Lepisosteus oculatus: one gene and its partners. The protein of the gene in region 4 purifies or fractionates together with the protein of the main gene of each other region. This does not show direct contact. Links are inferred from orthologs where the notes say so. Each region holds a gene or a part of one and is shown on either strand. Other genes may lie near its edges. The genes, in order: cabin1, ubinuclein-1, tlk1a and histone chaperone asf1b-B.

What was found.
Region 1: the proteins of histone chaperone asf1b-B (region 4) and cabin1 purify together in Homo sapiens (affinity purification with mass spectrometry; 3 studies listed by BioGRID and IntAct, counting the BioPlex papers as one, with this or other methods). This does not show direct contact. The link is inferred for Lepisosteus oculatus from reciprocal best matches to the Homo sapiens genes ASF1B and CABIN1.
Region 2: the proteins of histone chaperone asf1b-B (region 4) and ubinuclein-1 purify together in Homo sapiens (affinity purification with mass spectrometry; 3 studies listed by BioGRID and IntAct, counting the BioPlex papers as one, with this or other methods). This does not show direct contact. The link is inferred for Lepisosteus oculatus from reciprocal best matches to the Homo sapiens genes ASF1B and UBN1.
Region 3: the proteins of histone chaperone asf1b-B (region 4) and tlk1a purify together in Homo sapiens (co-immunoprecipitation; 3 studies listed by BioGRID and IntAct, counting the BioPlex papers as one, with this or other methods). This does not show direct contact. The link is inferred for Lepisosteus oculatus from reciprocal best matches to the Homo sapiens genes ASF1B and TLK1.

Annotation. Positions count from the first base shown.
Region 1 is NC_090717.1:9,546,376-9,553,776, reverse strand, and holds the start of cabin1 (calcineurin-binding protein cabin-1), read left to right. Parts: upstream 1-4,377; 5' UTR 4,378-4,452; intron 4,453-5,100; 5' UTR 5,101-5,145; coding exon 5,146-5,148; intron 5,149-5,881; coding exon 5,882-5,974; intron 5,975-6,809; coding exon 6,810-6,923; intron 6,924-7,401. Other genes in the region: ddt (D-dopachrome decarboxylase), read left to right, coding at 1-70, 549-621. UniProt on the Homo sapiens protein: May be required for replication-independent chromatin assembly. May serve as a negative regulator of T-cell receptor (TCR) signaling via inhibition of calcineurin. Inhibition of activated calcineurin is dependent on both PKC and calcium signals.
Region 2 is NC_090714.1:858,259-866,203, forward strand, and holds the start of ubinuclein-1, read right to left. Parts: upstream 3,028-7,945; 5' UTR 1,941-3,027; coding exon 1,722-1,940; intron 1,172-1,721; coding exon 1,070-1,171; intron 994-1,069; coding exon 898-993; intron 371-897; coding exon 227-370; intron 1-226. Other genes in the region: glyr1 (cytokine-like nuclear factor N-PAC), read left to right, coding at 5,161-5,198, 5,947-5,983, 6,345-6,424, 6,535-6,673, 7,030-7,185. UniProt on the Homo sapiens protein: Acts as a novel regulator of senescence. Involved in the formation of senescence-associated heterochromatin foci (SAHF), which represses expression of proliferation-promoting genes. Binds to proliferation-promoting genes.
Region 3 is NC_090707.1:16,290,455-16,298,143, forward strand, and holds the start of tlk1a (serine/threonine-protein kinase tousled-like 1), read right to left. Parts: upstream 3,132-7,689; 5' UTR 3,093-3,131; intron 2,692-3,092; exon of another isoform or gene 2,578-2,691; intron 2,432-2,577; 5' UTR 2,425-2,431; coding exon 2,292-2,424; intron 2,141-2,291; exon of another isoform or gene 2,126-2,140; coding exon of another isoform or gene 2,023-2,125; intron 1,835-2,022; exon of another isoform or gene 1,817-1,834; coding exon of another isoform or gene 1,810-1,816; intron 1,758-1,809; exon of another isoform or gene 1,743-1,757; coding exon of another isoform or gene 1,724-1,742; intron 1-1,723. UniProt on the Homo sapiens protein: Rapidly and transiently inhibited by phosphorylation following the generation of DNA double-stranded breaks during S-phase. This is cell cycle checkpoint and ATM-pathway dependent and appears to regulate processes involved in chromatin assembly.
Region 4 is NC_090706.1:21,997,621-22,005,021, forward strand, and holds the start of histone chaperone asf1b-B, read right to left. Parts: upstream 3,082-7,401; 5' UTR 2,576-3,081; coding exon 2,467-2,575; intron 1,764-2,466; exon of another isoform or gene 1,727-1,763; coding exon of another isoform or gene 1,684-1,726; intron 1-1,683. UniProt on the Homo sapiens protein: Histone chaperone that facilitates histone deposition and histone exchange and removal during nucleosome assembly and disassembly. Cooperates with chromatin assembly factor 1 (CAF-1) to promote replication-dependent chromatin assembly.

The DNA of each region.
Region 1 (7,401 bases), on a different chromosome or scaffold from region 4:
AGAAGAACAAGCAGCACAGTGCCAAGATCTTCCAGTTCCTCACCCAGGAGCTGGGGCTCAGCGAAGACAGGTCAGTGCACTCAAGAGCATCCTCAAGTACCCTCCAGCCCCTCCACTGTCCGAGAGTGGCACTGGAGGCTGTGTGTCTTAGATAGATGCTGCACATTACACATATTACCACGCAGTTATGGGGAAAAATAAAACCACCACAGAGTTTTACACAATTTCACACAAAATTCGCCCAGCCATTTTCTAACCACTTCCAGTTCAGGGTCATAGGGGAGTCGGAGCCTGTCCCAGCAGGCTTAAGGAAGATATGGAAAATTCAGATACTTTTTATTATTAAGAGCCCTGCTGTTAAATTAAACAGCGCCTTAAGAGTTTCTTTTACACAAAGGAAGGTATCATCCTCAGGTTAGATTTCTAATGTTAACATATTTTAAGAATTTGGTAACAAAGTTGTCGAGTTTGGGGACACAATGATTGCGATTGGGCCATGTGAATGGCTTACAAATGGGGCTCAAGATTTCTCATTTTCCTCCTAATAGGATTGTCCTCCGGTTCTGGCCTCTCGAACCCTGGCAAGTTGGGAAGAAAGGGACTGTGATGACCTTCCTGTGAAGAATGAGGATACAAATGTCACATTATTGCTGCAGTGCACCACCAGGAAAGAGAGTGTGGATTGTTTCTTATACTTGACAGTTGTGTGCAGAATGAAGCACATTTTTCTGTTTAATAAATTCCTAGTGCTCCTTATATGTAACAGATATCAATGTGACACACTCAAAAATAAAAAAAAATATTATAAGAAGGAATGTTGTCTAGTCAAGGGATCCCTTTTCCAGATGTATTTCTTTATAAGGACGAACAACATGAAAGGATTGTTATAAATTCTTACTTATGGCTATGAGGCATTAAAAACAGAACGGAAGGTCAATATATCAGCAGCTTTTAGAGCACCTTTGTCTGCTGTGTAAGACTGAGATTTATCCTACACAGCTGGCTAGACTGGGTGTAAAAACATCCCCTGTGAGAACTGGTGTGATGTATTGGCTGGTTCTGTTAGAATAGGAGGTTAAAAAGAGTGACCTGAGGATATTCATTAGTTTAGTTAGATGCTGGTGCCTGGAATTGAATAAATAATTGTAGGTATTGACTAATTGGAAAAAGAGATTCTGTATTTAAGTGAGCTGAGTTCCTGACACGGTGTTAATATTTGTTCTCTGTTGCCCTGAGTTTTCTCTTTCTTCCTTCATTGGTCTGCTCTGCTGAACTGTCTAACTGTGAGTGTCTTCTGGTAACCCTGCATAATGCCTCACTCCCATTGAGGTATTACCACCTGAACCTGGTACTCAGAAAATCTTTAACATGTGTCTGCTTATAGCACATTGCTGATATTCTGATTGATACTCTTTTATTTTTTTAATTGCCACATTTGAAAGTCTTTATCTGTATATTTCAAGGTATAATCATCATGAAGAGAGACCTTAACGTGACTGTGTACGTTCACTTGTTCTATCATGCCCTCTTGTTCTCAGTTAGTGAAAATGAGCTCCGTGAAGTTGCCCCCCCCTACAGACAGCACAAACGATGAAATCCACCTCATTCGTTAGAGCTACGTTTGTGCCGTTGAAAGTAGCGTTTGTGCTGCTTTTGTTTCCGAGATATAGCACCTTCTTTGATTTTGATCAGTTGACCCCAGACTTTGCAGCCTTTACATGAATAAACAGTCTTACATTTAACCATGTTCTCGAAAATGTATTGCTTGTGTACTCGTTTCATTGCTGAAGAGACACCAGTTTCCAAATGACCGCTTGTACAACACGAGAGCCCATATTCACATTTTTAGGTATTGGTTTCAAGATCGAGATAATTTAACAATTAAAAACAGAATTGAAAGTACGAGCATAATAATATAACGATCATAGACTTACATTTATATTTTATTTTTGAAGTACAAAGCAGAAGGTGTTTCCCATACCTTAAATATACGATTAAAATTGTTCAAATACCACGTATTCATTACGGAAAGCAGCGGAGACAGTTATACTACAAATAAATGTATTTATTTCGAAGGGTACGGGACATTGTGAATCAATAAAGACGTCAATAAAAACAAGCCGATGTAGTTATTTTGCAAATAAGTAAAGCATTTTAAAAATAGTTTCTCATTGACAGTGAACAAGCCGATCCACCTGGCGCTGCTGGCTTGAACAGCTCTCGGACCCGTGATTGGCTAAACCCCCGAACAGCTCGGGCCGCGATTGGGTGAAGAGTGAGAATCGACACTCTGATTGGGTAAAGCGCCACAGCGGAAGTTCTGTGTACCGTGTGTGCTGTATGAGCACGCTGGATACACAGTAACAGTAACACATCCATTGGTTTCCGATTACTGATCAATCTCGCACAAAGTCGCCCTGAGGTTTAAACAGAATAGCAGACAAAGAATGTCATGGTATCCACAGCGCGTTCACGACTCCGATAGCATGTCACGATAGGAGTGCGCGCATCACGATCACATGGCGATACCCATTGCGACTGGCGCGACATTAAGTCCATATATTGCGATATGACATACCGACAAAACGCCCCCGCCCCCATGTCGCGACATGGAGACGGCATATCGCGATATAGCGTACCCCCAACAAAACGCCCACCCCCATGTCGCGACATGAAGACTGTATATCGCGATATGCCATCCCCCAGCAAAAATGCCCAGCCCCATGTCGCGACATGAAAGACTCTATATCGCGATATGACCAAAACTGCCATGCCCATGTCGCGACATGAAGCCCTATATATCGCGATATGACCAAAACTGCCACGCCCATGTCGCGACATGAAACCTGTATATCCCGATATGACATACCCCGACAAAATGTCCCGCCCCCATATCGAGACTTGGAGTCCATATATGCGACACACAAAGTCCATATATCGGGACACGTCCTATCTGGGTATATCATGTTCTGATATGAGACCTTTGTTGTGACAGTGGTGCCAGGGTGCCATGGAAGCAAGGCGCCACTCGTGATATACACTGCCGCGATATACATGCCTTATACATGGGGTCCCTATCATGACATGCTGCGGAGGTCTTGTCGCGATGGTATCCCACAGTTACGCATTTGGAAACAGCGTGTCACGGTAGGGAAAGAAAAGAAAAGCGTCTTAGATAATAAAAAACATTGATCTTACAATCACGGTGATTTTACATACATTATAACCACAGTTTTATGTCATAGATAGTTAACTTGTTGGCGTGCGTCATGTCTAAGTATAAATCACATCTAAGGCGGCTCATATGTTTATGGATATTGATTGTCTTTAAAATGTTAAGGGTACGAGCTAAACTGTAACAGAGCGCTTGAACTCGGCAGACGAGGTCAAAGTCGCTGTGCATGGTCATGTGATCACCGGGAAAACAAGGTGCTATATCTCGGGAACGAAAACAGCACAAACGCTACTTTCAACAGCACAAACCGGCACAAACGTAGCACTAATGAATGAGGTGGGTTTCATCGTTTGTGCTGTCTGTAGGGGGGGCAACTTCACGGAGCTGTGAAAACGCTAACAAAAAATGTCACTTGTACCAAGTATGTCCTGGAAATGTGGGGATTTAGTTTTAAAGTGGGTCTCATCAGCGTTATTGAGGCACCGAAGACCTGCCTTGGCTGAGGCACAAATAGTTAAAACCTATACATCTGATTAACAATGGGCGCTTTAATGATAATTAATGTAATGCATTGGTTTAATTTAATGCAAATGATAGCATTCTTCAGCTGTAATTACTTCTGTATGTAAACAAAACATTCACGTTATTTGCCGCGGTGTCCATGAATAAACTTGAAAATTATCTTGTCATTGTCATTTGTTCCTTTGGAAATATGAACATTCCTTTTGTAGAATAAAAAAAATAAATTGGGTTAAATGTGTTTATTTACAAAGCATTTTTGTAACTTTCACCTTTTTATGTGAAATTTAATCGAAGTTTATTGCTTTATAATTCATACTATCCCCTTCATAGCTGCATGCAGAATAATATTGTCTTCCAATTGGAGTAAAATAAGACACTTTTACCCTTAAAAATACCGTTGACAGTAGAAATCGAATTACAGTATTATAAGGATAATATTTCAATTTGAGTCTTCTTCATGATACTATCATTGATAGTGTTAATCTTGTGTTGTCTTGGGCCAGGTTTAAATAGCAATTACTTGGAGCAAAAGATGTTTAATCCGTTCTCTCATCAAACATTTTCCGATGTAGAGTATATGGACAATAGTCCACAGAAGTTACTTTCCACAGAACCCAGTCCTGCTGTGCCTGGTTACCAGCATATGAGTTTGTGATTGGCTGAATTTCACCGGCCAGACTGAACCAGTAGGATAGGCTGTTGCTGGCAGATGCTTCACAACAGACAAGCAAAGTGCAGTTTGGAAAGGAGCGCAGGTAAAGAATTAAAATACGTTTAACGCTATTTCATGCATCGTTCTGCGCACCTCTATTTATATAAAAGTCAACAGTTAGGTTTGTTTCTTTTATTTAAAACGAATACAATCTTGAGTATTTGTAGTGTTGCAGAACATGCTTGTGTCACTGGGGAGCTGATTGAGTTATTGTATAGCTGCGAAAGGGTGAAGGAAACGCACCAATTGATTCCTGATTACAGCTAAAAAACTGAAAATGGTAGAGTTAAATGTTATAAATACATGAAATATACTGAAATCTATCGTTGCCAAAATGTGGTTTTAGTTTTACTCGGCAAATTGTTATATTTCAAACGTTTACCTTAGCATGTGGGATATTGGTGTGCAGCCATATATCAAATTAATGGTGCTGCATGTAATTGAAAGTAATATTTTGTGAATAACGTGTTAATAGTATTAATAAATACAGTCCATTATATATACTTCCTGAACCCCCTTTCTTAGAATGATCCAGAGAAACATCAGAGAGCTTAAAATACTTTAACGCTTGTATAGTATGTTACGATTGTGTTGATAAACAAATGCCTGCAGTTTGTATCAAAGAATAAAACAAAAACATCGCGATAGTTCTGTCATAAAGCATTTCATTGAAAAAGGCTGTTTATTGCAGGTCTTCTCAACATGAAGTAAGAAGAATCTGGTGCTGAAGAAAACAATGGTACATTTTATTTTCTCTCGAAGAGCAACGTGTGAAGAAAACCATATTGATTTCTTTTAATTTTTGTATTTTTATTAAGTTAATCAATTAAATAATTACACAGACTGGCCTGCTGTTCTTCGGGGTTTAATACAAATTGTAATTGTTTTGATGTGAACCCCACACTTCAGACATAGCAGTGATTTTGAATGAATAATTAAATGTTATTTTATGAATCAACAAAGGAGTCATTCTTTAGGGTCTCAAATTCCACAAAGTATTGCATTGCATATTCAGTTTAATGGCACTTTGTAATATAATTATAGTAATATAGGATTATATTGAGCATGAATATACATTCAAAGTTTCACTCATTTTTAAGCTTTTTCTTGGTCACATTGCATCCTGGTAGGGGTTTTATTAAACTGGCTTCCTTCCTGTGTTGGTTTTTGCGAACCTTTTCCAGCCTAAGGCACATGTTTTTACGGCATTCACTAAAAAGTGATATGGTCCTGGCCGCAGCAGTTGCCTGCTGGCCTGGAAAAGCCGATATGTTTTGTCGGTGAATTATTTCCAGGTGGGACTGGTTTGGAATTGGGCAGCGCACCAGTTGATGTCTGATGGCGCGCTTGTTGGGAAACGCTTCCCGACGTGACACCGTGGCCTCTCACCCGGTCTTTCCCTGGAGTTGAAATAGGTGTGGTCTAGGCTCATCGTGACCTCCTGAAGGCTTGACCCTGGCTTTTACTTCCAGATCCGAATCGCTGCACTGAATGCGGCCTCGGCAACTGGGGACGAACACGATGACCTGCAGAAAACCAGGAAGACGCAGACCAAGGAGGCCCAGGTGAGCTCCCTCTGGCTTAATACCCACGTTACCTGCTCTCCTGGGCCATACTGTTCATAGGGTTCAGGCATTTTATATCTTAAAAAATATATGTTATTATGCAAAGGAACAAGTAATAGGTTTATTCCATGCTGAAAAGAGAAGAAAGAAAACGCAACGTTTCGGCCCTGGAGCCTTCTTCAGGTGTGAGAAAGACAGGGCAGTAAGCAAAGGTGATGTACAGTAGCAGGAGAACAAAAGCTGGTAGAGAGGAGGGGTGGGAGCAGGGGACAGACAGAGTGGCCACTCGGTGGTGTGAAATTAAACCTACAGTGAACAGAGAGAATTTAGAAGAAAATTAGCCTGGTGTTGAGACAAGGGTGTGATCCTAGCTGCAGGATCATTTTATTTTCTGTAGTCTTTCTGATGTGGGAGTTGGGAAAACCATTTTTGAGAACACACGCGGAGAGATTATATTTTATTATATTAATCAGTATGGAATATGCATGTGTGATAAGCGCATCTTCCTCTGCTCCTGCTGGGCTTTGATCCCGTTTGCCCCTGGGCTCCGTTCTGTCCAGTGACTCTTCCTAGACAGCAGATGACTCGGCCGCGCACGCCAACAAACTAGTCCTGCGCCAAGGCCGAGTTTTACACTGCACTACGCTTTCAGAAGAGGGTCACTTCTGTAACGGGCTCGGGGCATTGCTCTTCAAGCATGTGCCCAGTTTGCTCTTGTGTTAATGGGGGAAGCAGCAGTTTGGTAGGTGTTTGTGTATTTGGTGGTAGGCGGAAAGCTGAAGGTCTGAACAGTGTACAGACTGTTGCACAGTTTGAGCGCTCTTTCTCTGAGTAGGAGGCAGAGGCATTTGCTCTGTACCACAAAGCTCTGGACCTCCAGAAACATGACCGGTTTGAGGAGTCTGCAAAGGCCTATCACGAGCTCCTGGAGACCCCGCTGCTTAAAGAGGTGAGACAGTAATGTACACAATGGTGAATTGTCCCATCATCATACGACTTACAAAATACATCTTTTGCGTTGTGTGACTAGTGTTCATAGACTTACAGATCAGGTCATTTTACTTAGGATACAGGATAAATAGCAAATATTTCTAGGATCTTTGGGTGATTGTTGGAAAGTAAACTTGGATTCCTGTAGAAGTGGTGAGTAATGTTTTTGTTTGGGTTAATGTGTTTTGTGTTATATTTTTTTATGTGTACTGTTTCTGTGTTTTATTTTTGTTTCTCTGTGGGTTGAACATAACTGCTTGGAGGCAAAACAAATTTCTGAGAAATCAGATAAAAATATTATTGTATCATATCGTCAATAAAACTGTTGCTGTCTTGCACTAGGGAAGTTGGTAAATATTTTCAAATGGATGCATTTTCATTTTTTCATCTGTCCATCTTTCTGTCGGGCTATCTATTAATAAATACGCCAAATGTAA
Region 2 (7,945 bases), on a different chromosome or scaffold from region 4:
AACGCATCCCTCTTTGTTTAGCACTTATATGAATATATAGTTCTTGAATAGTTTTGTCCTTCATACATTTCACAAAATATCACTATTATACTCATGTCCCGACTCTTTTACTACGTGGTTTAATATGCTGTATATTATAAGACCCTTACAGTTCCCCTTGGGAAAAATAAAGACATTATAAGACTAAATCTTAAAACAGCCTGCAAAAAGAAAAAAGTCCTCTGACCTTCGGAGACTTCAGTCTCTTCTTCTCTTGAGTAAAATCATCTTCAGGTTCAGATTCTGATGCCTGCCTGAACTGCAGAGTCCCAGAATTGATGTAAAATCCGCCGTATTTTGTCGTTAGTGAAGCCGGCACCAATTCATCATACTGTATCAATAAAAAGACAAATCCTTAAGTTTCCAGTGCATTTTTTACACAAAAGGCATCTTAAAAGACAAAAACTATTTTTTGTTGGGGTGTCTGTAGAAATGACTTGGAGCCCAGACATTTATTTCTTTTCAGCACCGAATGAACCCTCTACATGTTCCTCAGCAGCTTGCAAGCTCCACTCTCACACCTTACTGACAACAGGAATACCTCTAAGGCACACCGTGCACGACTGCTGTGTGAGGCCCTCGAAAGCACCACTCGGTCTCATAAAGCGCTCCTACGAGGGTGAATAGGAGGTAAATACCATTCAGAAAGTCAGAAGTTTTCATGTAACATGCACAAAGGACGTGAACAACAGGCATCTCTAGAGAAGGTTTTGGAGAGCACTGCGGACAGCAGACCAGCGGGCAGAAGAGCTGACCTCTATCAGCCCTCCCTGGTCGTCATTTTCACAAAGTCTGTCTGAAGAAGACAAAAGTGCCGGTAGATGAAAAACTTTCAAACTTGCAAGGCAGACAACTTACAGCCTCGGAGTTGTCGATAAACGGGTCTGTTTCGTCGTATCCGTATCCCATGTCAATCAAGTCCTGCACACGGTCCTTCTTGCGCTTCTTTGGACCCTGACAAAAGAAACAAGAACATTCACCAAGACGCCCTTTAGAATCTTTCCTGGGGTTCATAAAGGACAATACTAACATATTTTTCTTCAAACTTCTTAGCAAGAGCTTCGGCCTCTTGTCTCTGCGACGCACTCTCTTCCTCCTCCAGTGTTACTGCTGTTCCCTTGAAGGCATTATTCTGGGGGGGGAAAGTGAAGTGTTTAAACTGGGGCTGTTGGATAAGGCAAAACATCGGCATGCAACAATGTTTTCAGTACAGTGTTCCACTTTAATTGTATTGAGTTATTGTCGAATGTACAGTGAGTACAAATAATTTTAAATATTGGACTCTACAACAAAGTTTTTCGCCCAAGGTCTTCTTTTCTTGATGCTGATAGACTTCTTAGTTAGACGTTCTTGCACAGTCTCCACGGACGACTTGAACGATGGCCGTTCTCCACAGCTTACTTGAGAACGGTGAGATGTTAAAATGTTTGAGACCCCGAATCTTTGCTTTTGGTAGAGCGGGTCAGAGATGCTTCACATGCAAAGAAAAAGGCAATAGATCTACCCATTCAGGAATTCATACCGACTTGATTAAAACATACAATCACAAACAAACGCTAAGCGTTAACAGCGGGTTCACAATGCGCACCCCCCATCACATGCTTTAACAACTTCAGACTTTTCAGACATTCATTTCTACGTGAATGACTGGAAAAGCAGCCAAATACAGAACAGGTCTTTACCTTTTTCTTCACGAGTTCAGGGTAATAAAACTCTGGACAGCGCCGCTGATCGGGCTCAAAGAGGGCGAGCACCAGGCGTGCAGTTGCCGGAGACGTCTCCTGCTCCAAGGGGCTGCACACAGCGGATATGTCCTCCTTGGGGGGAATCTTTAGCAAACTTGAAGGAAGGGGGACATTGCTGCAGAGAGTGGTCAGCTGTACCCTGCGTGGCTCAGCCATGAGTAACTACGCGTTTCCAACCCCCAGCAGAGCGTAATCAAACTCCTGGAAGCACTTGTTTGAGTCTGTGCGTTTATATCTTTACCAGGCTTACATTTCTGATGTGTACTGAGCCAACAGTTATCGTTTAGACTCTACAAAGCCACATGACGTACAGGTAAATAACCCCTTTGATCCCGAAGGGTGCCCTTTATCTCGTATTAGGTCGAACTTTTGCGTGACACATCTATTAATTGCACACAACATTTTTGACCTAATTCATGTCTCTTAGTCCTGCCATCATTTATGATGGCGAAATAGTAAATACAACGCATGCAAAAGCAGCAGACAACTAACAAGGCGAATGTGGCACAGCACAAAATTGTATATCTCCCAATATCGGCTAACAAAAAACACTGGAAAAACATAAATGTTTTGCCCTGCGAGACGACAGGAAAAAAAAAGATGGGGAACAGTTATCCACGTTCTGAGTAGTTTTCACGTCATAAACATTTCAGCACTCAACAGAAACAAGCCACACTACTTCGGCGTTAAGGTATGCAAATATATTTTAGAAAACATTACGTAATTTAGTCACGCAAACTAAGCAATTCACACTAATTTCAAATTCATTTAACCCCCTCGATCTCCCTCTGCTTTCGCTCTGGACTTTATATAGGACCTTAGATAGAACCGGCGGCGTCGTCATCACCCTCCGCCGCAGCGTCGCACGATTAATACCTCATAATATTTACATTCTGGTAAAAAAAAACGCCGAGAATTTAGCTCTCGTGTCTCGGGAGGAATGTGAGCCAGGGGGCCATGTTGGTGGAGTTAATCCAGCTACCAAAGCCACAGTAAACCACAAACATGGGACGTCGTGGGCAGAATGCATGAAATAAGGGGGGTGTAGAGAGGTATTGCAAGAATATGTGGAGCTAAATAAAATGTTTACGTGTGCTTGCGTTTACTTGGTTGAAAGCAGGTTGTAGCACCGAGCAAGAGCAATAATGCGATTATTAGTATAATAAAAGGCAATCTGTAAATTACATTGTTAATGTTCTGAGAATCACCGTGATAAGCGCAAGACGGTTTTAAAATAAAAGAAAACACAATTTATCTTGCAGTTATTTTTTGTGTTCTTCCCATGTTAACGGTCTAAAACTGTTTAGTTACAGGTAACGGGTGCAGGAAACCTGTTGCGATGGAAGTTGCACTACACTGTACAAATTTCTGTTGTACAGATCTGTTTATTTCTAACGAACTTAAATATTTTTGCTCCGAATATCTTAAAGCAAGTTTTTTTTTAATCATTTAAACTTTGTAAACATTGAAACGTTCGTTTTCATAGTGCCACAGACAGTAAATTAAAAACAGTCATGTCAGAAACATTTATATAATGCAACAATAGAATAGTGGTGTGAGAAGAATGGATACTATAACACAATTAAGATTAAGTAGCACATACAGTATAAATATATAAAAATTGGAAGAGAAGAAGAAAAGGCAGATACTGAAGAGTATGTACTTGTCACAGTTCAATTAAAAAAGCAGAAAGCGTCCAATGCTTTATATTTTGCTGCTCGATATAATAGTCATCTGGTTTACCAATCAAATGAAACAAATCTGGCCCCGTTTCCATAATGCGGTTCTAATGTATAAGACACACCTGTTTTCTATTTCCGTTGCAGGTCTTACAAGAACTCCCTGTCACCAGTGTGGTTCAGATTTTTGTTTACGCTTTTATTCGATTGTGTCAATGTATTGTTTTGCATCAATTATTTCATAACGAGTTGGTAATTGTATAATTGATCTCAATTATGCTGATTAGTTAATGATTTCCGAGATGAGCGGCAACAGGGACGCCTAAAGGACGAGCGTTGAACACCAGCTTCTGACACCCCAGGAGGTTGAGTGGCCAAGAGCTTCTAACCGGAAATTTTCCTGTATCCCCTGACATCACCTTGATGTGCACATTTTTTTTCATCTCACAAAAATGTTTCTGTAATGCAGTTTTATACGATATAATCACGTATACGCACCAAAACGAAAGAGGTACGTCGTATTAAATCAAAATGTTTAAAGAAAATCAAATTGAAAAGCTGTAAACAATACTTGTTTTCAGTAGATAGCTAAAAATAAGACACTGCCCCAATAGAAGAGATCTATACTACACTTGGAGAGAAAATGGCGTCTGTTGATTTATTCCAAGGGCATATGTCGTTTGTAGTTCTGTACACGTTTTGGTCGCGCATTCTCCCAATATATATCCTGCTATTCTGGGGATTGGTGCCGAATTGTCTCCTTTGCTAAACGGCAATGTGCACGTTCACTTTTCCACTTCGCATATCCGGTTTTAAAGACAAATGTGTTCAGTGATGAGTATCGAAACACCTAAACAACATGAGGCTGATTGGAGGGCGTTTTCGATGTTTTTTTAATACGTAGACGAAGTGCCTCTACTTCCTCTTTAGCAAAATGGCTTTCCAACTCGCATGTGAAAATGGCGGGGTCGCTCTTTATAAACGTCTGTGGTTATCGAGCTCTGGACTGATATAGCCCGTAGCCAACGGCAGCAGTTTCATTGTTTCCTACGACATTTGTACTTCACCCGTTGCTCCTAAGCTCCCCAGAAAGCAAAGTGCCCCTGGCGCATCACCCGCACTGCATTGAGGTGCCGAGGAAACCATAGCGAGACATCAGCCGCCTCGCCTACGGTGCATTTTGCTGGCTGGTTGCTGCAGTAAAGCAACGAAAGAGATCACTCGCAGCGCTTCCCGGCCACTTTGAAAATGGCACCGTTTCGATTCAAATCGGAGATCTAAGCCATGCAACGTGTAGGTGGTGGTGTTAAGGATACAGGTCCCCTTTGCTATATTTTTGTATCAAAATAACATTTATTGCACATATATCTCACAAGCAGTTCACGGTGTGACATCAATTCTCTACAAACGGCTCTTAAAAAGGGTATCCTTTTTCAATCCGTGCAAGTGGTTGCTGGGGCTGGATTTGCAAAGAACAAACAGGTCCCTCCAAGCCCTGCGCCTTTGCTATGTAACTTTATTTTTTGGTACCTTTCCTTAGTTATCCAAACCCCCCGAACCCCTCCAGCACAGACGCCCTCTCCGGTAGGAGCAGCAGCTGTGCAGAGGCGCCGCGACGGCCGTCCGGGACCACGTGACGCGGGTGGGTGTGTTCTTCTTCCCTGGATGCACTGCGGCGTTTTAACCAACTTTCTAAGATGGCGGCCGTGCATCTGAGGATCGGCGATTTGGTTTGGTGAGATTTTTGTGCTTATTCGTTTAGTTTCAGCTGCATGACGTCTGCTGAGGGTGATTTAAACGGAGTCGCTTGCGCGGTGCCCTTGCTTACTTGCTTGAGCAAATGGCAGGTATTTCTTTGCAGAAATGATCTTGAAAATAGTGATTACAGCCAGCACAGAAACAGCGTTTCGTAAAAAAAACAGCAATCCGTATATTATTTTTTTTTAGCCGCAGTCTAGAACAAACAGTTCAGTTTTACTACATGTAGCACAACATTTCATATATACACCTTTATTAGTCTTGTGGCAACGTTATTTCCAGATGTTATCGCTTCCTCGTTGCTGAAAACATTTTATCCTGCTCCTTTATTGAACCCGAGCGGGAGGAACTTACTTTTCAGTCGTATTTCCTAAACTTTAACGTAAACGGAGACTTGATGTACATTCGACGATGTGACTTCACGTTTTTAACAATCGTGTACCCCTCTCTTCATTTTCACACTGTCAAATATAGGCGATTTCCCATGTATTGCACTTTGTTTACATATCACCATTTAATTAATTTTACAGTACATTGCAGCACACAGGCAGTCGTTGTTACTACATTAGTACAGTTCTCTCTGTTACCTAATGTTTCGGCCATAGTATGAACTAGTAAGGCTCAGACCGTCTGTGGTACTACATTTCAAACCATTGCATAATTGAAGTATCGAGAAGGAAACCATCGGTTGTGTTGCGTTAGTTGAAATCTTTCTTCTTTTTCAGGGGGAAGCTGGGACGGTATCCACCTTGGCCAGGAAAAGTAAATTCATTTCAAATCCGTGTTCTCTCCAAAGTTGCCGATCTTTCATTTTTTCATTACATTTTAAGTAGTGCACCAGTTCATGATGGGTCAGGAGTTGTTTTAAAGATGTTACAGTTGGTAACATTCCTAAATTGTGAACTATTTTTAGTGAAATAATGGGGAGGGTTTTTTAACATCCGTCATAACATGTTTAAAAGATGGGAGGGGGGGAATTCTAGTTAGGTTTTGTAAATTTTGCAGTTTTCCTGAAAGTGTGATGGATGATTGTGCTTATCTTTTCCCTGTCGGTGAGCCTTCTGTCAGGGTCTTCCTGTAAGTTTAATTCCCATTTTAACACCGTTCTGTGTTTTCTTTTTAGATAGTAAGTCCACCGAAAGACTTGAAGAAACCGAGAGGAAAAAAATGTTTCTTTGTGAAGTTTTTTGGCACTGAAGACCAGTAAGGAGTTCCACCCCCCCCCCACCATGTTTTAAAAAGTTACAAACGGTTGGCGATGGTTCTCTCGCGGCAGCTTTCTCAAAACGGCGATGCCTGTGTTTCTTTTCCAGTGCTTGGATAAAGGTCGAGCAGCTGAAGCCTTACCACCCCCACAAGGAAGAAATGATCAAGATCAACAAAGGCAAGCGTTTCCAACAAGCTGTGGATGCAGTGGAGGAGTTCCTCAAGAAAGCAAAAGGAAAGGAACAGGTAACGGCTTTGGATCGACTGAACCTGATGCACACACTGCGGTGCCATTTCTACATCTTAAAGGGAAGTCGGCCTTAATTTTTTCCAGTTTGCAAAAAAATCAGAATCTTATTCCTGTGCCGTTGTAGTGAAACAAAATCAGTTAAATCCTTGAGCTACAGTATAATGAGTGAACATTTTGAAATGTGCCTTTATTGCGTCGTTTAGAATAACTTTAATGTTTCCGTTAATTCTCAAGATTTCATTTAATTACTCCGTTATTGATGGGTCGTGGTGTTGGGGAAATAAGGCTGTTTCGGTGAGTTTCGGTGCCACTTTTGCTTGCGGTAACCTGTTTGTCTTTGCTCCCTATTTAGGCATCCCACAATTCCAGTAATTCAGAAGAAAGACACAAATCAAACGCCGCAGACGTAAAAGGCAGAAAAAATGCTGCAAAAATGGTGAAATTGCCACTTGATGATGATGAAGACCTTGGTTTGCGCCGACGAGGCCGCCCTCCAAAAGAAGACAAGGTTAGAGACGGCAAAGGGCACCTTGTACAAATACTTATTTAAGCTATTCCAGTTCTGTTCCTACTGATCACAAGAATAGTCCCTGGAAAGTATGTGGAATTGTGCTGTCCAACACTGTGCTGAAGCCAGCTTTGTTTGTTTGGTTTTAAGCTTGCGCAACAAAGTATTAAAAAGATGATGGCTACAGAGTCACTGAACCGGTTCTGTGAGCATTTCTCCAAAGGGGATTTGAGATCTTCATCTCTAAGGGGTGGTTGATGGCTGGATATAAACATATCTGTGTCATAAAGTGCAGCCAGAAAATCCCAAATGTGAGCTAATTGTTAAAATTGTTACAATGAAACATCAGTGAAATTACTTGTAATCGTTTGTTTATTCTCTTGGACAAGATATCAGCATTCATTGTGGTTTAAAATATAATAAAATGGCTGAAAGTTTTTGTACGTCACAACAATGTAAAATGCTGTTAAGAAATTGTGAGTATTTTGTGAAGCAGCTTGTATAAATTACATTTTAAAATACACTTTAGATTATTTTAAGTATTTGGCTTTTAAGTACTTTTTTAATGAATACTTATGTGATTTAATCAGAGTGCCTAAGTAGAACTTTGTAGAATGCAGCTTGCTCACACCTGCTACAGAGTTCAGTCAGACTTAAGTTTAAAATTCATGCTTTCTTTGTCTTTGTGGCACCTCACGGTGATTTGGTATATGGGTAGTTAACATGTTCTTGGATATTTGCAAATATTCATGCACCATAA
Region 3 (7,689 bases), on a different chromosome or scaffold from region 4:
GAGGCCTATCAAAACTGAATGCTACTAAGTGCCCACATCTTGGGACTCGAAGAGGGATGCCAGACAGGTCAAGGATTATGGGTTTAAACGCAGCAGTTTTGAAGTATCACTATGGAGCAACACCATAAAGTCTTACGCCTGCTGACACTTTGATAGTCTTACACATGAAATTTCAGAAGAAAAAGATGGTCTGTGAAAAAAGCTTGCGAGTATCTTATGGCATGTACTGATGAGATCACCCTGTAGGCTTAATTTATACAGCATACTGTATTAAAGTTAAAGTTTTTAAATTTTAATGCTGGTACCCTTAAAATAACAGAACACGGATAAAAAAAAAACTGATGTCATTTTAATTGGGCACCTTTCTAACCCTAGAGGTCAATATGATGCACATAATGCATTTTGGAAATTTCTCCAAGCTCTCTACAAGAGGAAACAGACGAAAAGTGGCTTACAGAGAACTAACTCAAATGCAGTGAAGAACTCTTTACAATTCTGCATAAACAAGACCTGAATACTGTCAGAGCCACTAAACATTAAGCCCCTGCAAAAGCTACTGGTTGAACCCTAAGAACACAGGACATTTTAGCTCCATGCAGTTCGTGGCTGTAGTAGGTCCACCTGAGCCTAACTCTCTAAAATGACCAAATTAAAAAGAATCATCATGCTTTGCAGCAACTTGACACTTTTGGACTGGCCAGCACAATATAATGCAAGACCCCACTGATATGTGCGATGAGATCAGATCCTGTCAGTTTAAAACTTTTCTTCATAAGGGCACACACACACACACAAAAAACAGCTTTTAAACTGAGGAAAGAACACATATTGATCTATAACTTAGCTCCTAACTCATAACTACTTCACATTCCTGGCTCCCCTTTTCAAGCACAACCAAGGCAGGAGACAGATATCAAGTTAATTACACCACCTACAGAAAAAAAATAGCAAACTTTACATAGGAGCCTATACTGTAAAGCTGAAAAAAAAACTAATTTAACATAAGAACTGGTTTATTAATATGGAATTTTTCATAACATGCAGGTACCTTATCGACCTTAAGCTCCTCAACAGAACATATTTTGGGTCAGGGAGACTAATTGCAAATTACATAAGAACTTGTATGCGAGATCTTTTTGCTTCAAGCACGACGGGTTGATTAAGGACGGAGGTAAACCTCGTTACCATATCACCTTAAAACCTCAAGGGCATCTTCAATTGCCCATAATACATAGAGCATTGCCAAGCAGTCTGCACGTCCCTCTCTGGGGATGACTTGCTTATATAGAAAACACAGAAACACAATTAAGCACTAATTTGAAACTCACACTAGGTAAACTAATTAGAACCGGACACTCAAAACTGCTCGGAATAGTAAGCCTAGACACATATAAACTCCACCCCAATAACTTGGTTATCTAGAACGTTTCCCCACCATTTTAGCCAACGCTAGGCATTATTTTAAAAGTAGTGTTTGTTCAACCAGAGACTCCATCAACTGTGGTTACGTACTGTAATTACCTGCATCCAGACAAATAACTACGCTCAAGGCACCCGATTGCACAGACTGCATAACACCATCATGGAACATTTGTGCATTTAAATTAAAAATAAATTCACCGAGCAATGCAGTTCTGTGCGCAGCCCCCAAAAAAGACGTGTCTCCGTGCACCCGCACACCACCATCATACTATGTATTGTGTATATGACACAGTTTACTTACTGCAATAAAAATGTGTCATCCCAGACTTGATACCAAAAAAGGCGAAGGAAGTTGCTACCCTTAGTTACGTTATTAAACTCGGATACCTGGCATTCTGCACACTGATCAATCTCGCCAAACTCTTCTTCTCGAAACAAAATCCATGGGTCCTCCATGATGTCAAAAGACCCGACCCTTTTTATTATCAGACATCTTAGCAAATAAAAAAAAAAGAGGAGGCACTTTTTTTTTATTTTCCCATTGCTTTTCAAAACGGAAGCCGCTAAAAAAAAACACAAAACTGTGAGCGATTTCAATACCGTCTAGCTGAGAGTCGTCAGCTAATGCACCCAAAGTGTAAATAAATGTAGCTGTTCTTTTTTTCTCCGTATGGCCTCTTGAGATTTTTTCTTGATACTCCATATCAAGCAGACACCTATTGACTGGCTGCACTGTACAGTACCTAACCCACGGCCTCAGCGTAACCCGCTTGGGACTCATATTTCCAGACGGCTCGTCGCCCGCATAACAAAAACACTTAGCCATTTCTAAAGAAGATACTTCTAAGATTAATATAGTTTTAGATTACCTTCCTTGGTTTTCACAGGTGCCGTGATATGTTGCTGAGAAAGCAAGCCCGGTGTTGGGGACGTGGAGAGCCGGGACCAAGATGGCGTCCCCTCCAAACTTCCACCACTTCCACTGTTACTTTGGACACTCATCAAGCTACTTTTTGGAACGAGAAAGCAAACAAACACAGGCGTCAATGGCAGTGAAACCTCGTGATTTCTGTAACCTGCAAGCCTCTGGCATCAATCAATCATCTCGTATGATCCGGCCCAAATTGTAAAATTTAACATTTTTTAAACACAAACCTCCCTATACCTCTGCAGTGCGTCTTGAAGTAGCCTGTGTGTGTAACCTTTGCATTAGGCGTCACGCATCGCTTGTGCAAACACTATCGCGAGGCTCGTACACCTCAGGCAAAAAATTCTACTGATGGAAACGGCAAAACAAAGAGGCCATCCCAAATTGTATGAAATACTTCCCAAGTCGCACGCTCTTCATCAGAGGCTTTGAATGCATTAATATTTTCATTTCTCATTCATAAAAAAAAAATGTGTAAACTGCAGGGTAACTGTGCTCCGTGCTACCTGTGCATTCCTCCCAAATTTTATAGGGGACATTTTATTTCATCACCGCATGAGGATTAAAATATGCAGACACTATTATCATATTAATAAAAATAAAGACAGTTCCCTGGCGCTATTTCAATTTCCTGATGCACTACGATGCCATTTCCAATTCCTTATCGGTAACGTAGAATAACGTAAGAACTTTGTTTGAAAAAAAATCTCATATCGCGAAATAAAAACTTTAATGTACATACACACGAACATAGTTTTCGCCTTCCCACAATTCATTATGGTGGTTTTAAGTGACGTAGGTTTAACCCTTTGCGGCGGACTTGCTAGTTGTTCAAGCTGTCAATCAAACCGCGATCACTAATTACGATAATTAGGATGTGTTTGTGGCGTTTATGTAATAGAATAGTTTAATATGAAAATTAGCTGATAATTAAGCATAAAGTAAATCTAATAAAAATCCTAAAATATTGCAAAAATAAATTGATGTATATTTACTTAATACATTAATCGTATTAAGTAACTATATCAATGTATTGATATAACAATTCTTTATAAACTGGGATAAGTGAAAATATTGTTTGAAGTGGTATTTATCACTTTTAAATATTGTGACCTTTGATAAGTGAAAAGAAATTTGGTTAAATGAATGTACTATTTTGGGTTGCCTATATACTCTCCTCTCAACTGTAAAAACGTTTCACACAACATTAAAGCACCTACTGTACTTCGTGAACATCGTGCAGTGAAGAAAAAGATTATTTGCACCTTTGAGGTCCTAAGAAGGGTCAATCATTTTAGTTCAATGTTGTTTTGTTGTTGTTGGGGGGTCGGCATCGGTATTGTTAAAAAATAAATTTTAAAAGGTCAATGAAAAATTAATTTAAAGGTGTATATTAATAAAATGGAAGTATAAGAAGCATATTAATAGCATAATATTTGCTGTAGAGTGGAAAAATATAAAGCATGACAATGTATTGGCGTTTAAATACGACAAAGCAAAAAAAGTGTAGACAGCAACCAGGAATTATTTTGCAGTTCCGTTTGCCGATTAGGTCAACCATTAACTGGGTATTTTAGGTTGAAGGTCATATTGCACTTTTTGTATTTGTCTCCATTGATTGATCATGAAGAATTGATTTTGGATTACATGTAATGGTAAGATTGTTGTTGCAGCAGTTTATGAGTGTGAGTCTCTTATGGAGAGTTCTCAATTAGAAACTGGGAAACAAACATCTGGATTTTTATGTAATAAAATAAAGCAAGTAACATTGTATTGTATTAGCTGTTGGTTTATACCGAAGATAATTTTCAGATGCAAAATTAGAAACAACCAGGTTCACGTTATTTTTGTGCATTATTCACATTCAGCACACTTTTAAATGTCCATAGTTTCCTCAGGAGCTGGAACATTCGGTTTTACTGTATATGTTTTTTGTCCATCCAAGAGCCATGCATTTCAGAGAAGGAAAATTATTAAATTGTTAAGGTAGTTCCTTAGAGTAACCGTTCGTTTTCACACATTTTCCACTTTTTATGTAATTACATTCACTTAATGCTGGGAAAAAAAAATCAATAACAGGCTTAGAAAAGGGTAGTTTGTTACAGATTTTAAATAATTTAAATATAGCATACACCTATAAATCAGAAGAGTTTAAGAATTCTATTTTATTATATATATGCAATACATTTATTTTTCAAATATATGTATGGAATTTAGAATTTTTTTAAGTAGATCAACAAAATATTTGTTTTCAAATCAGTAGACCGTGTGGTAGCAGTGTAATGGAGACAAAAGATTGTTGTTGTTTTTCCCAGTGGTCTTTTAGAAAAATAAAATATCTACTCCTAACAACAAAGACATAACAGAGTCCCTAAAATAAGAACCCAACTGGGGTCAAACAGCATTAAAACACAGGGGTTAATAATTTCCTGTTGCATCTCCCAATCTGATCTTTTAGATGGTAAAGGCATAGAGAATGTTCTCAGCCAGTGATGGCTCACTTGTTGTTCTATGCACTTGCTATGCACAGATGGCTGTTCAGAGTTCATTGAAATGACTGTGATGCCTCCTCTCAGTAGAAACATCCCGGCCTTCTTTTTCACACACCAAGCTAAGCTTCCCTTTTCAACACACAGCCCAGACCAGCAAATCCTTTGGCACAAGCCTTTGTCTCACAATAGCATGCTTCAGAACTGATTCAGTGCATTATACCACCCCAGAAAAGCAAGTCATGTGGGTCAATAGTAGGCATTTAAAAATTCAATTAGGAAGCAATCAAAATAATTATAGAGGCATTTTTAAAATATTTGTTGGAATGCAGCTTTCGTTTTCATTCAGGGCATTTTATTTGTTTTCTTTTTTTACTACTAAAACGAAGGCATATTAATGTGCTACATCCTGGAATTTTCCACTTGCTGTGAATGACTGGTTCAGGATTGAGTATGCATAATTTTTCCTTAGATAAAATTCTAACACCGGTGCACAGCCCAAATGAAACACTGGGCATGGAAATTTACCTCAGATATACTATTTGTTTTGTTCGGGACTCAAATTTACATCTGGTGCTCAAGTCAACATGCAATATGAAAAATTAGTTACTCAAATTTACATCCAACTAGGGAAAATAATCTTAATTCAGGATAAAAAATCTGAACCTGTCTGATTTGACTCCTACTAAAAATTCTGATATCTGTTCTTCACATTGTGTAGCTCTGGTAGTTGTCATTTGCTCTTATTGTGAACCTTCCTAATTTGTCTCAGTATTATGACCTGAAACAGACTAATACCTTGAACAGATAAGTGCTTTTGCAATTTGTTGCATTGTGAACTTTCTATTCTTCTTATTGGAACCTGTCCTTGTAAACTGCTTTTAGATTTGTGCACTGCAAAAAGGCATATGCAGGACTTAAGAGATCACTGATAGTGCCCAACACAAGAAAGTTTAAAAATAAGAGGCTATAAGGCACATCTAGACTGTCCAGTGACGTCTTAAAAGAAATCAGCTTCAAATCATGCCTGGGTATCTTATTCCAGTCCATTCTGTGTAAGAAAGTGTCCCCTCAGTAGTAATTGGAATAGTAATTCCTTGGTTCATGTCCTGGTATTGGTCCCTAAAATAGTCTTTTATGTTCAAGATGAAAAAGATTGCATGAAGGGTGAACCTTTAAGTCTGAAATACATGTGGTCCCCATTCTCTGAAATAATTGCAAAGCAGCAATATTTTTTTTTTGCACCATTATGGTAACCACAGCTGTACACAACATTCTAAATGAGGTCAGTATTGACATTTTACACATCTAATGATCTGTTTGGCCTTTTATTGCTTATCCACCTTATTGAAGGAAAATGATGTGTCAATACTTTGCTTTTTCCATAGCTGCCTGTTTCCAATCTCACATTCATACTTTTTTGGTGGATACGAAAAAAAAACTCTTCAATTAGATTGTATTATTATCATCATCAAATGATAGTTCGGGTGGGTAGCTGCGTCAGCATGCGTAGGCTGCAAAGGAACAAGTTTATTCCATGCTGAATAAGGTGTCAGGCTCACATCTGAAGAAGGCTCCACGGCCAAAACGTTGTGTTCTCTTTCTTCTTTTTTTCAGCATGGAATAAACCTATTACTTGTTCCATCATCAAATGATGTATTATTTCCTTAAAACATATAGAGTGATTTGGTAGTCATCCTATGACTTGTACCATTTGCAAAATTGACTAGTTCACAAATGTCCAAAATGTAGGACAACTGATATACTGTAAGTTCAAAAGAACAGTGGTCTGAATACAGATCCTTGTGATACCCAAACAAAATATTAAAAAAAACTTTAATTGAATAAAACTGCTATTTGATTGTAAAGAACTGTACCACTCAAGCATTCATCATCATTTTGTGAATCATGCATTTTTAAGAACCTTCTCAGTATAACATATGAGCCTTTCAAGTCACTGGCTTTCTTTGTAGCTCAGTCTTGTCAAATCTCACAACCTAAGCAAGCTTGGTCCATGTCAGTAATGATACTGGAGACTTCCAAAGAAATCCAGGTTGGTACAGTGAGTGGCCTTGCTGGAATAAGTGGCAATCTTCTCTCTGGACTACAATTTCCAATCTACAGCATGGTGACAAGGGACATAGATCTGTAGGCAGTGTGCTGTCCTTTTGTTGAGAGTTTCAGGAGAGGTCCTGACTACTTCATCTGTTCATAAGACTAGTCATATTAGAATAGGTGTACCCCAGTATATTGGCTAAATTCCACTTCAGGTTTGGACAGTCTTACCTCAGTAAATGTCCCTCTCACTTCAACTGGTGAATTAACATCTCACTGTATCATGACCTCATCTGTTTTCACTTTAATTGTCTTTAAATGGCTATGAAGTTCAAATTTAAACACTCATTAATGATCTTTTGGAAAATGTAAAGTACTTAAAATAACAATGATTACTTACTAATGTGAAAGATAAACATTTGAATAAGTAAAAAATTCCATCACTGATTACAAAAAACTGAGAAGATTAATAAGACTGTCTGTACAGTCTAGATGTACAGTATGTAGTATGTTAGTGCATGTTAGAATCTCTATAAAAAGATGGGAACAATGCCAAGCTACAGAAATGTACTGTACATTAAAAGAATAAGCTGAAACATATACATTCTAAGGTCTACAGAAAGGGTCAACCCAGTTTGACATCTTCAGTAAAAAACCAAGGAAACATGGCAACAAAGGGAATTTATTTAGGATGGAAAATAGGCAACACTTCTTTACATAAAGAGTGATGGTTGTCTGGAACATAAGGTTGAGGACCAGACTGTCGGGTCCTCCAAGAAAGAGATGGACAACATT
Region 4 (7,401 bases):
AGTCTGGGGCGGAGCGGTGGCTCTGTGGCTAAGGATTTGTGCCTGTGGCTGGAAGGTTGCCGGTTCAAATCCCACAGCCGGCAGAGGAATCCTACTCCCTTAACCCTAACTGCTCCAGGGGCGCCGCACAATGGCAGACCCCAGGCTCTCTCCCTATCATTGCTGTGTGTCTCATGGAGAAAATGCATGGGTATGTGAAAAGATAATTCCTAATGCAAGAAATTGTAAAGGGTTAATAAAGTGATGTTTTTATTATTATGTCTACAGTATTCCATCTGGATTAGTACTGACCGAAGAGACCCATCTACAGGCGAAAGGCGATATAACATCACAGCAGCAGCATTTAAGGTGGAAAGAAAAACACAAATAAGAAGCCAACTTCAGCCTCGTATGAAAGACCTAGCTACATGTGATCACTGTAACAGCGCACGCTGATTCAGGGTGCTCAGACATCTGAAACGTATTACAATTAATACCGAAGTGCCACCCCAAGGCTGTCATGTTAATGGATAAAAGATCAGATCACTTTATTGGCCATATACAATTTCATATATTAGGAATTTGTCTTTTCGCATACCCCAGCTTGCTCTCCATGAGACACAGACAGGGAGAGAAGCTTGGGGTCAGAGGGCAGAGTCAGCCATTTATACAGCACTCCTGGAGCAGTTGGGGTTAAGGGCCTTGCTCAGGGGCCCAACAGAGTAGGATTCCTCTGCCAGCCACAGGGTTTGAACCAGCAACCTTCCAGCCACAGGTGCAGATCCTTAGCCACAGAGCCACCGCACCACCACGCCCTGAAAATCATGGTGACAGCTGGGTTTGAACCCCCAACCTCTAGCACACAAGGCACACGCCTCAGCCATTACACCAACGTGCCACTTAACTTAAAATTAGGTAAAGGGTCTTTTCCAACATTTGGAACAGCCCATTCATTATATAAAATCATGAATGTCCAAAAATCACTATGTAATCAAATTACTTAAAAACCCACCAACTGTCGAGCAGGAATTTTAAACACAAATACAATGAAATAGTTTAGGTGTGTAGCTATGTCAGCATGCATAGGCTGCAAAGGAACAAGTAATAGGTTTACTCCATGCTGAATAAAGAAGAAAACAACGTTTCGGCTGTGGAGCCTTCTTCGGTTGTGACACTTGTTCCTACACAAATACAATGCCATCTTAAAGTTAAACGGGCTTGAACTGGTATGACTGAACTCTAAAAGCTTTGATCTTGGGCGCCAGAATATCGCAGCACAGCAAAAGATAAAGTAACATTGAAAATGTTAATTTTCAGAATTACTGCAAGACATTAAATGTGTTTAATTAAAACAACTAAATATATTCAGACGGAAACCAATATTGCCCCACTACAAATTAACACGTTACAAAGGTACAATTAATCATACAGTTTATTAAAATGAAAATATAATCCAAACTGTCACAGTGAATATATTTGTTTTTGAACAGTCTTCAATACCCAGAATATTTTAATATAAACTTTAAGAAGTAAATGTTTCATTGAAACATTGAACGTTATATTTACTTATGAATATTACCAAGCAGCTTCGGATAAACAATTCTTTATTTGAATACCTCTAAGTTACTAATGAGTAACTTGGAAACTTCAAAATGAAGACACCAACCGTCTCGGCGTCAAATTAATGTGGTTGCAGAATACTACCTCTAGCTCTGCGTGAAACAAAAGCTACTCCCGCAATTTCCATTCAATCAGGAGCTACAGTCATAGTAACTCGCTTAGGAACCAATCGGATACACAACAGATGCTAAAACACACGCCCCCGTATCATCAGCCGCCCAATCAGATAGAAGAGGCATGGATTCTAGAATTTTTTTCTGCTCGCTTGCTTTAAGTCCCCGCCGGCGCCAAAATTCAAAGATTACCATCTTTAAACTAAGTAATGGAAAGGACATACAAGTATAATTAAGAAAAAAGCGAAATGCTTCTAACCAGAGAAAGAATCAAACGAATTATCGCCGTCATAAATCTCAGAGAATCAGTTACTTTAAATTGCTTGCATTTTGACTGTTAGACTGCGGGTGAACTAGTTAGGCCTGTTCACCTAACTGATATAATATAGCCCTGACGTTTCTTGAAAATCTACGAGAATGAAACAATTTATCTGTAAAAATGTTGGAAAATGCTCAAGTTACAACTATTATAAATTCGTTCAACTACAAAACTAAATTGCTTCAAAGTACTAGCAAACAATAGATTATAAGATTATAATAGTTTTTCATAACAGCGCTTTACGATAGGCTTTCTACTCCACCTAAAATCTGAACAGCAAAGTGTCACACCAGCTCATGCAACAAAATTAGAAATGTGCTCGCCCCTTGAGTACCTACGATTTCTCCCCGCCATTTCGGCAGGACGCACTTTGCACCTGAGATAAGGCAGAAAAAAGGCTGCCCGACATCCGCAGCCCAAGGGAGATGCGCTTACCTTCGGGAAGGTCTTCCATGCACTCGAAAGTGATTTCAAACTGGAAGGGGTTTCCGAAGGGACTCGGGTTGTCCAGGACGGCAACGTTCAGCACTTGCACCTTCGCCATTTCTGCAGCTGCCCGGCCAACTCGCGGTGCAAAACAATAATTATCCGAGTCACTCAAAGGGACAAAACTGCGTAGAAACCCCCAAATCCCGTCTTTGCACTGCTGAGGATCTAGTTACAGAGAACCGTGCGCTCTAACAGGGGGTGACAGCTCCTTACTAAAACTAAAAAGTATATTTTTTCCTTACGAAAGTGAATAATTTCCTGTATTTATACGTCGCTTATTTAAAATGAGTCTTGGTACCAGATCTTCATTTTCTGCATCCACACACCAAAGGTTTTCGAAGTTTTTTGTTCCTGACAAGAGGGGGGACTCAAACCTTCAGATCCGGACAGAAAGCGTATGAAAAGTTTCAAAAATATGTTTCCCTCCAAACGTCACAAACCCGTTCCCTTCGCGGTCTGCCCGAGAGAAAGAAAGAAACTCGCTCCCGCCAGCGTTCACAGCAGCCTCCGCCGGACAGTAAGACTAGGAGCATCAAGCTTGAAGCGGATTGGCCAGGCCATAGCCATGGGACCCAGGAGAGCTCTGCTACCGATTGGCCAGCAGCTGCAGGAACTATAGCGTCTGAAACTGCTGGCGCGCTGCTGCGTGACGTCACTGTCGCAGAATTCTGTGCAAATGAGCAGATTCGAGATGTTTTGCACAGTTGCTCGTTCTTCGACTGCCATTACGCGACGTACCCATAATTCCTTTCATAGAGTTGTGCATAGTATTTGAGCTGCAAGCAAGTGCAGCAGGGGGTGCGTTCCTAAACTTAATCAAACGACCTTATGAGTGCCTAAGAAATGGGAATTTATCAGGACTCGACACCACAAAATGAGTAAATTACGTGCTTTATTTCAATTACAATGGCGAAGATTTGTCAATTACTAGATTTTGCTCTCTGTGTAATCAGTAAATTACAATCTATGTTTTTCTCAGAAGTCACCGATGGGAGAACAGTGTGTGTTATACCATTCCAAAAATTTAGAGTATTACTGTTTCCACTTACGTGATTTCTGTGTTTGTTGAAATGCATATCCCACAGCAGCATGTATAGGATGGAAAATCAGAGTTATCCGATTCTGGTTATTACTAAGGATATTTCTGTTCTGCTCACCAAAACAAAATGCACGGAATGTAATTGCAATTGACATGTTAATATCAGTTTCGCGATGTTTTAATTACCCCTACCACTGGCTCACACTGATGTTTTTTTAAAGTTGTATGTTCTTTAACTTTTTGTTGCTGCCTCTGTTCTGTGTTTATGTTTTTGGTATTTTCTTAATGTCTTTGGAACATACATGCAAATACGCATTGCACTTGTGCATATGGCAATAAACTGAACTGTACATAGAAATGTTTCAAATGAGAGGAGGCCATTAAGCCCATTTTGCTCATTTGATAGTATTTACTGTAATTGATCCTAGAATCTCATCCAGCAGTTTCTTGAATTAAGTCAAAGTATCAGCCTCAATCACATGGTTAGCTTGTTTCACACTACCACAACCCTCTGGGTAGAGAAGTGCCTTCTGTTGTTGTTAAATACACTTCCATGTAGTATCCACGTGTGCCCTCTGGTTTGTGTTTCATTGTTTATTCTGAAGAAGTCCTCTGGGTTGACATTGTCAATTTCTGTGAGAATTTTTAATATTTGTATCCGGTCCCTTAATATTGTTTTTCGAGACTAAAAAAGTTTTTTCAGCCTCTGTGTAGAATATTCCTTGAAGACCCAGAAAGCATCTGTTATTCTCTGGACTCATTTCAAAGCAGTAATATTTTTTTTGTAATGTGATAATCACCATTTTACACGGTATTCTAAATGAGACCTAACTACCGCAATACACAATTTTAACATGACATCCCTTAATTTCAATTTTAAGCTTTTAATACAGCCAAACATTTTATTTTCCTTTTTAATTTCTCCCCACATCATCTGGAAGATGTAAGCAATGTACCAACATAAACACAGATGTCTTATCATGAGTAGCTTCTTCTAGCTTAGTGTTTTCCAGTCTGTATTTATATTTTAACTTCTGGGTGATACAGTGGTGCAGTGTTAAACATTGCTTCTTCACAGTGCCGGGGCCTCAGGTTCAGTTCCTGGGGTGTTACCTGCATGAGGGTTGTATACCAAAGTTTTCTCTGGGTGCTACGTTTTCCTGCCACAGTCCAAAGACATTCGTAATGGTTAAAGGGTAACTGCAACGGTATATTTATATTTTGGGGTTAGAAAGAATCAGCATTGATGAGTGCATTTCAAATCACAATTAAAGTAAAATGGACACAGTAACAAATGAAAATTCCGGGAATAAGCAGCGCCATATTCTGCAATTCAGAATGAGGCAACAAAATGTTTAGTGATGTGAAGTAACCCGATTTTATTCTAAACAAGCAGGTTTGAGTATACATCTCTTTTAATGTGATAGAAATGTTGCTCTTGACTTCAAGATAGTTTTGCCGACAAATACTACGTGTTAACTCTGCACGCAGGTAACAATGGAACATTTCAGCAGTGAAATTCGCTCATACATCGTGCTACAGTAGTGTCACGATCGTAATCCCTCCTCTTAAGGGCACTCCAGCTCTTTCACATTTATGATGCCGTGTACCTGCCCTCAATCTTGCCCCTCCTTATTTATGCTGGGCGCTCTCACCAATCTGGGCTCTGCACTGGAAGACGAATGCCTGAGGCCTGCCTACCATCAAGTCGCCCTACATCCACGGCTTGAGGGCATAGGCTTCCTAACGGCGTCCTGACCCAGCTGAGTCCGGGGCTCAGAGCGCCTGGCCTCGTCATCCCGTTTTTATTCCCCATCCCTGTACTGGATCCCATTCCAGCTTTTAACTCTGTTTTGTCCTATCTCAGATGGATCAACCGGATTTGGACCTTGGACTTCGCCCTGGATCTCCCCCTGGACTCCGTTGGACTTGTTTGCCGTGGCCACTCCCCCCGAGCACCAGTTCACTTTCGTCACGCCCCTCTGTTTGTTAACCTGCCATGATCCTCGTCGTCTCCTCCCTGTTGTCCTTTCGACTTACTTCCGGATTATACCGTCTGCACAGGGTCCTGAACTAAGTTTCACGGGAGCCTGGACCGGCTCTGGTTGCAGTAGCCATTACAATGATTAGTGAGCAGGAAGAGGCCACATAATGTCACAGTTCATGGGAACTCTCACTCTTGCCCGTTCACAAAGTTCACGATTTTGTGCTTAATTGGAAATTTGTAAATCATTTCTATATCTCTATATATATATGTTTAATAATCAGTCTGAAAATAATCAGTCTTTAATTGATTTTTGTAAAAATCTTATTGTGAGAATGTTTAAGTTTGTGTTTGTTCTGTGTGTGCTCTGGAATGAACTGGCTTCCATCCAGGTTGTATCTTGCTTTATTTTCATTGCTTGTTGGCGTAGGCTCTGGCTCCCCCCCACCCTGTACTAGAAAAGCAGATTACAAAATGGATATATTGAGTTTAACCAGCTGCATGCAAAACCCTGCACTTATCTATATTAAATGTAATCTTCCATGTTTTTGTCCAGTCTTGCCAAGTCACTGCTACATCTTTTTTGTTTTTTTGTTTGCTACTAATACAGTTTGAGCTAATTCTCCTATTTTGGAATCATCTGCAAACTTGACTAGTTTATTAACCATACCGGAATCTAGATCATGTGATGCAAGGGGGGTAATGGCTACCGTTCACTGATCGTGGGCATGTTCATCGCTCCAGACACACCCCTTTTTGCTTGTTGGGGAATCTTTTTGCATTCTTTTTCTATATTTGCACGCGCAGTCTCTGCATTTAGTCTCTCTTAACACTCACTCTCCTCTGATAGTGGTGCGTATCATGGACCCCCCATCCAGCTGGACAGGTGGCACCATCTCTTTAGAGATCTTCCTAGCTTTTACCTACCTCACTCATCTGGAGTGGCTTCCTCCTGATGACACCTACAGAGCTTCCTTCTCCTCTGCTCCTTGAAGAGTGGGGTCCTCTCACACCCAGCCAGCCTTGGACTACAAAGGTCTACCTCAGGCTGCTAACATCATCCTTCTGACTTCACAAGGCTAGGCCTCACATTCACTTAGTCTTGCATTTCTAGAAGCTAACAAAGTTTCTTTCACACCCAAGCTGACTCAACACACATGTAGGGGTTTTATGAATTTACTGGGACAATTTATTACTGTAGCAGTAATCACGAGGTGATTCATTATGGCTATTAGAAAATAAATCGATCAGCGATGCACACACATAGATTCAATAAACAAGATACACTTATTAATACATAAATTGTGCATATAAAACACATAACAGTCTGCCTGGATAAAGAGAAGAGATGCAAAACACATAGAGAAACAAACAAGAATATGCTTCAGTATACAGTTTGGCTATACTATCATTAATCAGTTAACATTAGCTACTCAAAAGTAAATACATTACTCACATGAATTGAATTGATATCAACTTGTGTTGAGGTAACAATTGAATTCTCGACATTGGGTTTATCTATCCAGATATGGATTCATATTTCCAGGCACGGACACCAAAGACCAGCTAGAGGCTGCATCCAATCGCTGTGGCATTCAATAGGCTTAGTCCCGGCGTTCTCTGGCTCCCAGCCAACCACTCAGGGTGCAGCTCAGAGTCAGATGAATTAGGTGGAGAGATTTCTGCTGTGGCGACGCGCCGACAGTGTCTCTCTCAGGGATCTACTAGTAGTCCAGATGACTAGTAGAAAGTCTCTATGCACAGAGGGTGACTGTGGGTCTGAGGTGTGTAGTGTGCTCTCTGAAGGCACCAGTTCTGTAGGGTTTGTGCATTTACTGGGACAATTATAAATTGTAGC